2 linked regions of the Macaca fascicularis genome follow. The protein of the gene in region 2 binds, or shares a complex with, the protein of the main gene of each other region. Links are inferred from orthologs where the notes say so. Each region holds a gene or a part of one and is shown on either strand. Other genes may lie near its edges.

Region 1 (4,359 bases), on a different chromosome or scaffold from region 2:
CGCGTGGGGAGGCCAAGGTGGGCGGATCACTTGAGCCCAGGAGTTCCAGATCAGCCTGGACAACATACCAAAACCTACAAAAAAATACAAAAAAAAATACAAAAACTAGCTGGGTATGGTGGCAAACACCTGCAGTCCCAGCTACTCGGGAGGCTGAAGTGGGAGAATTGCTTGAGTCTGAGAGGCAGAGATTGCCGTGAGGCCAGATCAGGCCACTGCACTCCAGCCTGGGCAACAAAACGAAACTTGGTCTCAAAAAAAAAAGGGAAAAAAAAAAAATCCAATTCTCTTAAGTGAAAGAGAAAATCACACTGGCCTGAAAATTCTATACAACATTAGGATATGGAGAGAAACTATATATTACAAAGATTTTAAATTCAGCCCAACTGTCATTAAGTCCTTCACAACTTTCATTTTATGAAACTGTCATTCATAAAATGCCACAATTATGACAAAAACTTAGGAAATACTGTTTCTCCCTAAGGAATCTCCTAGACAACACATTTCAGACAATCAAAAAACAACTTGTAAAGTTCCAATGTAAAGGAAATATAGGAGAAAAACAAATCCAGAACATGAAACTCCCAAGGAATCTCCTGCTGAACATGCTTCAGACACCCAAAAATAAAAAAGATTTAAGAAGCTTAAAAGTAAGAAACATACGGAGAAATGAAAGAATAAAATCCAGAAGATTTCACAAAACTACCTCCTTTTTGCAACAAATCGATGACATGAACAAGGCACTGGGGTGTGGGGGCGGGGTGTTACCCATAATAACTAAACATAACGCACTGAGACCAAGCATAGTGGCTCACTCCTGTAATCCCAACACTCTGGGAGGCTGAGGTGGGAGGGTCACTTGAGGTATTTTTTATTTTTGGGGTACAAATATTTCATTAACTTAAAGTAAAATAAAGATGAACCGTACACATCACCTGCTAATTCTCTTATTTTCTAGATTAACGCCACAAATATAATCAAAATTTAATTTAGTTATCTACTATTATACTCACTACTCCCGTGTAATAGCGTAGTCCAACCACATGACCTCTCAAACTTCCAAATAAAACGGAATCTAGTTCTTCATCACTAGTTAGGAAGTCATCTGGAGGGATAACATCTTGGAACTCAAAACGTGGAAAGAAAGTTGGATATGAGAGGCGTGGAAAATTTCCATGAACTCCATACTGCACAATCTGCAAGTACTTCCAAACAGGATCCCTATTTTTTTTTTAAAGGCAAAGAAAAACAGTATTTAAGTACTTCCAAAGACCATATGAGTGGTTTTCTCATGCTTTACTTCAGCAAATGAAATCTTACATGGGAATCACAGTAAAGATTAATAGTTAGTTACTCTCGTTAAAGCAGGAATTGCAGTGAGTGGAGAAGGCTTCCCGGGAACTTTACCTGTTTTCAATATTGGCTCTTCTACCTGCCCCCTAGGAATTCAAAATGAAAAGCCTAGTCAGAGCTCACTAATATCTTTCCTAGTGAAAATCATCTAAACTGAAATGTATATGATGTCTGTAAATACAATTATGGGCCAGATGTGGTAGCTCACGCCTGGAATCCCAGCACTGTGGGAGGCAGAGGCAGGTGGATCACCTGAGGTCAGGAATTTGAGACCAACCTGGCCAACATGGTGAAACCCTGTCTCTACTACAAATACAAAAATTAGCCGGGCGTGGTGGCGCACATCTGTAATCCCAGCTACTCGGGAGGCTGGAGAATCTCTTGAACCCGGGAGGCGGAGGGTGCAGTGAGCCAAGATTGTGCCACTGCACTCCAGCCTGGACGAGAGAGCGAGACTCCATCTCAAAAATATAAATTATTAAAAAAATAAAATTATATGCCAAAATTTCAATAGGGATTCAGCTACAAAAGACTTACAAAAATACAACTACTATTGTATACGAAGTTGTTTATAATTTTCCAGAAAATACATCCAGCATCCATCACTGTAACTCCCTCCGAGCAGAACACTTACTTTATTCTGGTATCTAAGCCACGCCACCGTGGGAAATTGGCCCCAAGCCACCCGTACCCGCCTCCCGTCGCTGGTTTAAGCATTACCCCAAACCCGTTACGTGTAACTGTTTCGGGAATGACCATAAAAACCAATTTGGACAATGAAAAGTGAGGGGAAGTCTACTGGAGCATTGCAGAAAGTTTCCATTCTCCTAAGAACAGTCGCTTATTTGCGCTGCGTTTTCCTTGCAAGTGGCGCATTCTCTCTATTAGCTCCTCTGCAAATACGTATCTGCACGTCTGTGCATACACATAAGCTGTGAGCCACTTGGGGACAACGGCTGGCTTACTCGGCCCTCCACCGAGCATAATGCCTGCCGCACAGTGGGTATCTAATGGATGTTTTGTTGAATAACGCATGGGCCGAGAGGCTTTAAGCCCCAGGCCCCCCACAGTCGGTGACAGAGATTTCCCAAGTCCCTAACACGAGACTCGCCCTAATAGCCCCTACTCGCCAGCCAAGACAATGCATTTATTTCTCCCGCGGCCACATATGCGACCAACAGAACGAATACAGCTGCACAAATCGCCCGGGGAACGTGGAGGAACGCGGGGAAGGTCAGGTTCATTTGGGGACGCCTCCAGGCCCTTAGCCCCAGCGCCCCACCCCCTCCGCCCCCTTCACCTCTTGAACATCCAGGACATGGCGCTGAGTGGGATGACAAGAGGAGCGCCTCGGCTCCCCTGGATCGTTCTCGAGCCGCCTCGATACGCCTCGTTCCAGGTCCCGCAGCCCTGAAGCCGGGAACAAATTCCGAGCGCCGGATAAGGAGCGTACGACTGAAAGATAAGTCGCTGCGAGTCTAGTCAGACGTCGACGCTGTCTCCTTCTAGCAACAATCTGGGAGACCAGCGTCGCTCTGTGACTGGCACTAGGAAAGCCCAATCACGAAGAGAAGAGTGCGGAGCCAAACCAATCAGAGCACAGAAGGGAGGGCAACTCCGCCCCGCTGCCATTCAAAGACTGCGGGGGGTCCCGGCTGCAAGGGTGGTTCCATCCGGGTTCTTCCCCGCCCCCAAGGCGGGCGCGCGGGAAAGCCACGAGGCCCCAGGAGTGCGACTGCGGTGCCTGCGGTGCCGGCGTTTTGTTTGATTCCCTGCCTTAAACGGAGGGAAACGACTTTCCTTTACCCCACAAGTCCTAAGACTCAACCCCATTCTAAAGCCTCTACCGTATCCTTCCTCTTATTTCCTCCTCATCTAATGTGGCACGTAATAGGGCGTTATACTGAAGGAGCTCCACGGTTTACGAGACCTGGAGCTACCGGCGAGATACTTTGTTTCATTCCCTGTGGTGAACCCTGGGGACTTTCGCTCCAAATTTTCATGCTAAGCCTCAGCGTATGGATGAGACACAACGAGTTTGGAAAATCTTAAATGGAACTTAGAGTCCCCTCCCCACCTCTTTTCGTTATTTTTAAGGAAAATTTTCCTTTCTTGGTACAGGAAAGCCATCACATGTTTATCACAGCTATGGGGGCGTTTGCCGGAAATGGTGGACAGGACCCTTTTCCCAGTGGGCACGTGGCTGCTCCAGCCCAGCTGGGGAGACCCTTGTTTTCCCCAAGGAACTGCAGAGGGGCGCTCTGAGGCCCTCCACGGCTCGCTTTCCAGAGTCTGAGGTGACTGGAAGGAGAATGCAGCCCTGGGACCGTCAGCCTTGGACCAGCTGCAGCCCACGCCTATCAGGGCTGGTCCCTGCGCGTTGGGGATGGAGAGGAGGCTGCTGTCCCCGAAGGTGGCCTTTTAATCGCACAGGGCGGGAAGCCGGTGATGGCGCCGATCTGCACAGGCGGTGCCGTGTAACTGCCAGAGAATACTTGCCCGTCACAGAGAGGTCCACATTACACGCCCGTCAACACAATAATACTAGGTGGTCAGCTTTTCTTTTCTTTTTTCTTTTTCTGTTTTTTCTCTTTTTTATTGAGACGGAGTCTCGCTCTGTCCCCCAGGCGGGAGTGCAATGGTGCGATCTTGGCTCACTGCAGCCTCCACCTCCCGGGTTCAAGCGATTCTCCTGCCTCAGCCTCTCGAGCAGCCGAGATTACAAGCGCCCGCCACCACGCCCAGCTAATTTTTGTGTTTTTAGTAGAGATGGGATTTCACCATGTTGTCCAGGCTGTCTTGAACTCCTGACCTCAGGTGATCTGCCCGCCTCGGCCTCTCAAAAGTGCTGGGATTTCAGGCGTTAGCCGCCGTGCCAGGCCGGTAGTCAGCTTTTCAAGAGAGACATTTGTTCATTATCGTAAATAAACTGTAGTCATCTGTAATCATGAACCTTCGATGAGTAATAGAATTTGAAGCAATATATTATTTCATTTGACCAAAGTT
Region 2 (3,777 bases):
TCCTGTCAAAGTGTGTCTAACCAGGATGCAGGAAGCCCACATCTGCCCAGGAATAGAGCTTGCAGGGTGGCTAGGTGAGGGTGGAAATGCCAGATTGAAGTCCCTGAAGAGCTTCAGTTTTAGCGGCTAATAGTCAGTGTTGCAGACAGCCCTGCCCAGGCAAGCCCTACCCAAGAACGGAGGGCCAGGCAGGGCTGACTCAATCGGGTAACTGTTGGCTGCAGTCATGATTCATCCTCTAGCCAAGAGAACAGTTTTAATCACAACATTTCCCCCTTTACTTTGTCTTATTTTAGAGCCAGTGTGCAGCTCCTTCAAAACAGAGTTCCTTGCTGTGGCCCTGGTCAGTGCCCTTTGGGGCACTGGTTACTGAGGAGACAAAGGCTTCCCCCCTAGTTTTCAATGCTATTTTCACCTCCTGGCTAGCCCCTGCTCTGCATCCTTATTGCAGAAGGTCTACTGGACACATAGGGAGTCAGCTGGCTGCAGTATTCATAACCCATCCACTGAATAAAACAGCTGGGGGAGGAGGGGAGGGGAGGACACAGTGGGAGAAGGATGTAACTTCAGAGAGGGAAGCTCCATCACTTCGTAATGGCTGTGGGCAAGAGAGACATGGGACTGAGTGACTTCAGACCTGAGCACTCACTTGCTCTCTTGAAGAAGATACTCAAGGGTGGCCAGGATTTCCTCGACTGACAACTTGTATTTCTTAGGAGCTCCTAAATTCGCCTTTTTAAAATTTAGAGGTCCTTACCCTGCTGCATTCCCTTTCTTAATTCTGCACTTTCCTTCTGCCCTGTCATCTGAAAAAGGTAAACTAGGTACCCCACCCAGTTCCAATTTCTGGGATCTTTGGGAATTGATCCTGAAGTGCTCTGCTGCTCTGAACTTGAGCACAGTTATTTTTAAACCTCTGTGGTGTCTGACTCCTTTCCTGAGTTATTTAAGAACTGGGGTGAGATCCCATGTCCTTCTCCCAGAGGTGACTCGCCCAGTTCAGTTCTCTTAAATTGCTGGACTTGGAGTACCAATCTAGGCAAGGCAGACTCTCTGTAAGCCCACTGCCATCTGAAGCCCATATGAGGGATGGGGGATGAGCCAGATCTGAGCTGTGTCAGAAGAGAAGGAAAAGGGTGTGGTTCCCCTGGAATTCATCTCACAGCAGACCCTGAAGCATTAATTTGCAGCTCTCTCCAAGATAACTAACTACCTTTCAGATGACTCATGCCAGATTTTGATTTATAGCATTCTTTGGCCTGCTGGTTCCCATACTTTTCTGGAGATTAATGGGTAGAATTTACAATTCTTAAGTGTTAATTGCTCAATCCTCATGTTTACCAACTCCACCTTCTCCTCTGTAAAAGAAAGCATTTGAGAATCAGTGTTGAATAGGCATCTCTCAGAGACAGGAACCAGACCAAATTATGTCTCAGGTTCCTGTTAGAGTTCTTCAGCAGAGGAATTTGCCAGCCCTTCAATCTAAACTCAAAGCGTATTCTTGTGATTTATTTATTTTTATTTTTTAGTGCTATATTACAGTCTCCATTTGTGTTCACCTGTTTCCTATCCAGTAGTGATTTTAGATGATATTAGCCAAAGCTTATCTGTTCTGGCCAAATGATTCCTTCCAATTAAGCCAAAATTCACTGAGGTTCTATTAAGTACCACATACTGGGTCTTGATGAGACATATACCCCTAGTTCATTATGCCTGAATGTAATGATCTGACATGTTTCCTTTCCTTTCTTATAAATGCTTCATGATGAAAGCTCTTGCTCTCCCAGTGTACCCCAGACTGTGAGAGCAGCGCATCTGTCTAGTGTCACTAAAAACATAGAAGACCCTCAAATGAGTTAGGTTATAGTATTACTTGTTGCTTCTCAAGTGAAGTAGACAATGGACTTTGAGTAGTTTTTTTATTTGGGTAGATCAACTGCATTTTACTGCCAGAGATGCAGCTGTCTTTATTGCAATAAATAACAAGTTCAGAACTTTAGTAAAGAATACATATATACCCAGCAGATAAATTCATTTGTAAGCAGATTTCTAAACCCTAGAATCAGACTGAACCAAGTTACCACGTTAAGCTTAGAAGGTTGAAGTTTTCATATTCACCAGGCTTGACTGTGTGTATTGTTAGTATCAGCCATATCTAAGAATCCCATTTACTAGTGCCAAGAGAAATTATGAACTATCTGTTCTTTCAGTAGGTGCTTTGTCAGTAAAAAGAGGAACACTGGGCTGGGCGCAATGGCTTACGCCTGTAATCCCAGCACTTTGGGAGGCTGAGGTGGGCAGATCACCTGAGGTCAGAGTTTGAGACCAGCCTGCCCAACATGGCAAAACCCCATCTCTACTAAAAATACAAAAAATTAGCCAGGCGTAGTGGCGGGCGCCTGTAATCCCAGCTGAGAGATTACAGGAGATTACGGGAGGCTGAGGCAGAAGAATCGCTTGAACCTGGGAGGCGGAGGTTGCAGTGAGCCGAGATCACACCACTGCACTCCAGCCTGGGCAACAAGAGCGAAACTCCATCTCAAAAAAAAAAAAAAAAAAGAGGAACACTGATCTTGCTTTTCTAAATGATTAGAGTTTCTGTTCTTTATTAGGTTATTTATGCAAATTAGCTGGAGTTAGATAAACCCCTTTATTTACAGCACCAGTACCTGAGGTGTCTATTTCTACCAACAAGAGACCCAGACTAGGGTGGTCTGGCTCTTAGATTCATTCACTGAATTTTAAAGCTGGAGAGGATCAGATGAATGATCTCATCTCCATCATTCCAATTATCCTAAAAAGGTTGGCAATACATATGGCTTAAAAGTTAATGTAAACCCACCTAGATGAACCTGGAGGACATTATGCTTAGTGAAATAAGCCAAGCACAGAAAGACAGTTACCAGATGATCTCACTCATGTGGAATCTTAAACACTGAATTTCATAGAACTGAAGAATAGAATGGGCTGGGGTGATTGCACTGGAGTGATGTTGAGGCAATGTTAGTCAAAAGATACAAAATTTCAGTTAGGAGGAATAAGTTTAAGAGATCTACTGTACAACAATGTGACTGTAGTTAATAACAATGTATTGTATTCTTGACAAATAGTTAAGAGTGGCTAAGTGTTCTCACCACAAAAGTGCTAACTATGTGAGGTAATGCATATGTTAATTAGCTAGATTCAGTCATCCCACAATGTATATATACCTCAAAACATCATGTTGTACACGTTAAATACATACAATATTATCTTTCAATTTAAAAAAAAATAAATTCATTCATAAAGTCTGCCAAAAGAAGTTAATGTAGACCCTGTTTCTTTACATCCTTTAATAGGCTTCAACAGACCACACCAAAATGCCGTCTCAAATGGAGCATGCCATGGAAACCATGATGTTTACATTTCACAAATTCGCGGGGGATAAAGGCTACTTAACAAAGGAGGACCTGAGAGTACTCATGGAAAAGGAGTTTCCTGGATTTTTGGAAGTAAGTGTTGAAAGGCTTACAAAGAACCAGACATAAAAGTCAGTGCTTCTAGGCCTTGGTTCCTTTTCCTTCTTGTTTCCATCCCTTCCCTGTGGAGGTCACCACTAGTGAATGAATGAATGTAGTCACCTGAAGGAAGGAAGGAATGAATGAGGTCATTCATTCATTTATTAAATAATATTGAGTACCTGCTATTTGTAAGATACTGTTGAGGAAATAGAAAGTAATGAAGACACGGCGCCAGCCTTCAAGGAGCTTACAGTCTGCAGGTGAAATAAGACTACAT

What was found.
Region 1: the proteins of S100A10 (region 2) and HLTF are in contact, whole or in part, in a crystal structure (PDB 4HRE), measured with the Homo sapiens proteins. The link is inferred for Macaca fascicularis from reciprocal best matches to the Homo sapiens genes S100A10 and HLTF. Residues at the interface, in NP_002957.1 of Homo sapiens: Phe42, Asp58, Leu59, Asp60, Gln61, Gln70, Ser74, Leu75, Ala77, Gly78, Leu79, Ile81, Ala82, Tyr86; in NP_001305864.1 of Homo sapiens: Thr32, Phe33, Phe34, Pro35, Phe37, Phe39.

The regions. Positions count from the first base shown.
Region 1 is NC_088376.1:51,897,853-51,902,211, forward strand, and holds the start of HLTF (helicase-like transcription factor), read right to left. Parts: upstream 2,872-4,359; 5' UTR 2,674-2,871; coding exon 2,654-2,673; intron 1,222-2,653; coding exon 1,014-1,221; intron 1-1,013. UniProt on the Homo sapiens protein: Has both helicase and E3 ubiquitin ligase activities. Possesses intrinsic ATP-dependent nucleosome-remodeling activity; This activity may be required for transcriptional activation or repression of specific target promoters.
Region 2 is NC_088375.1:109,196,788-109,200,564, forward strand, and holds part of S100A10 (protein S100-A10), read left to right. Parts: intron 1-3,338; coding exon 3,339-3,491; intron 3,492-3,777. UniProt on the Homo sapiens protein: Because S100A10 induces the dimerization of ANXA2/p36, it may function as a regulator of protein phosphorylation in that the ANXA2 monomer is the preferred target (in vitro) of tyrosine-specific kinase.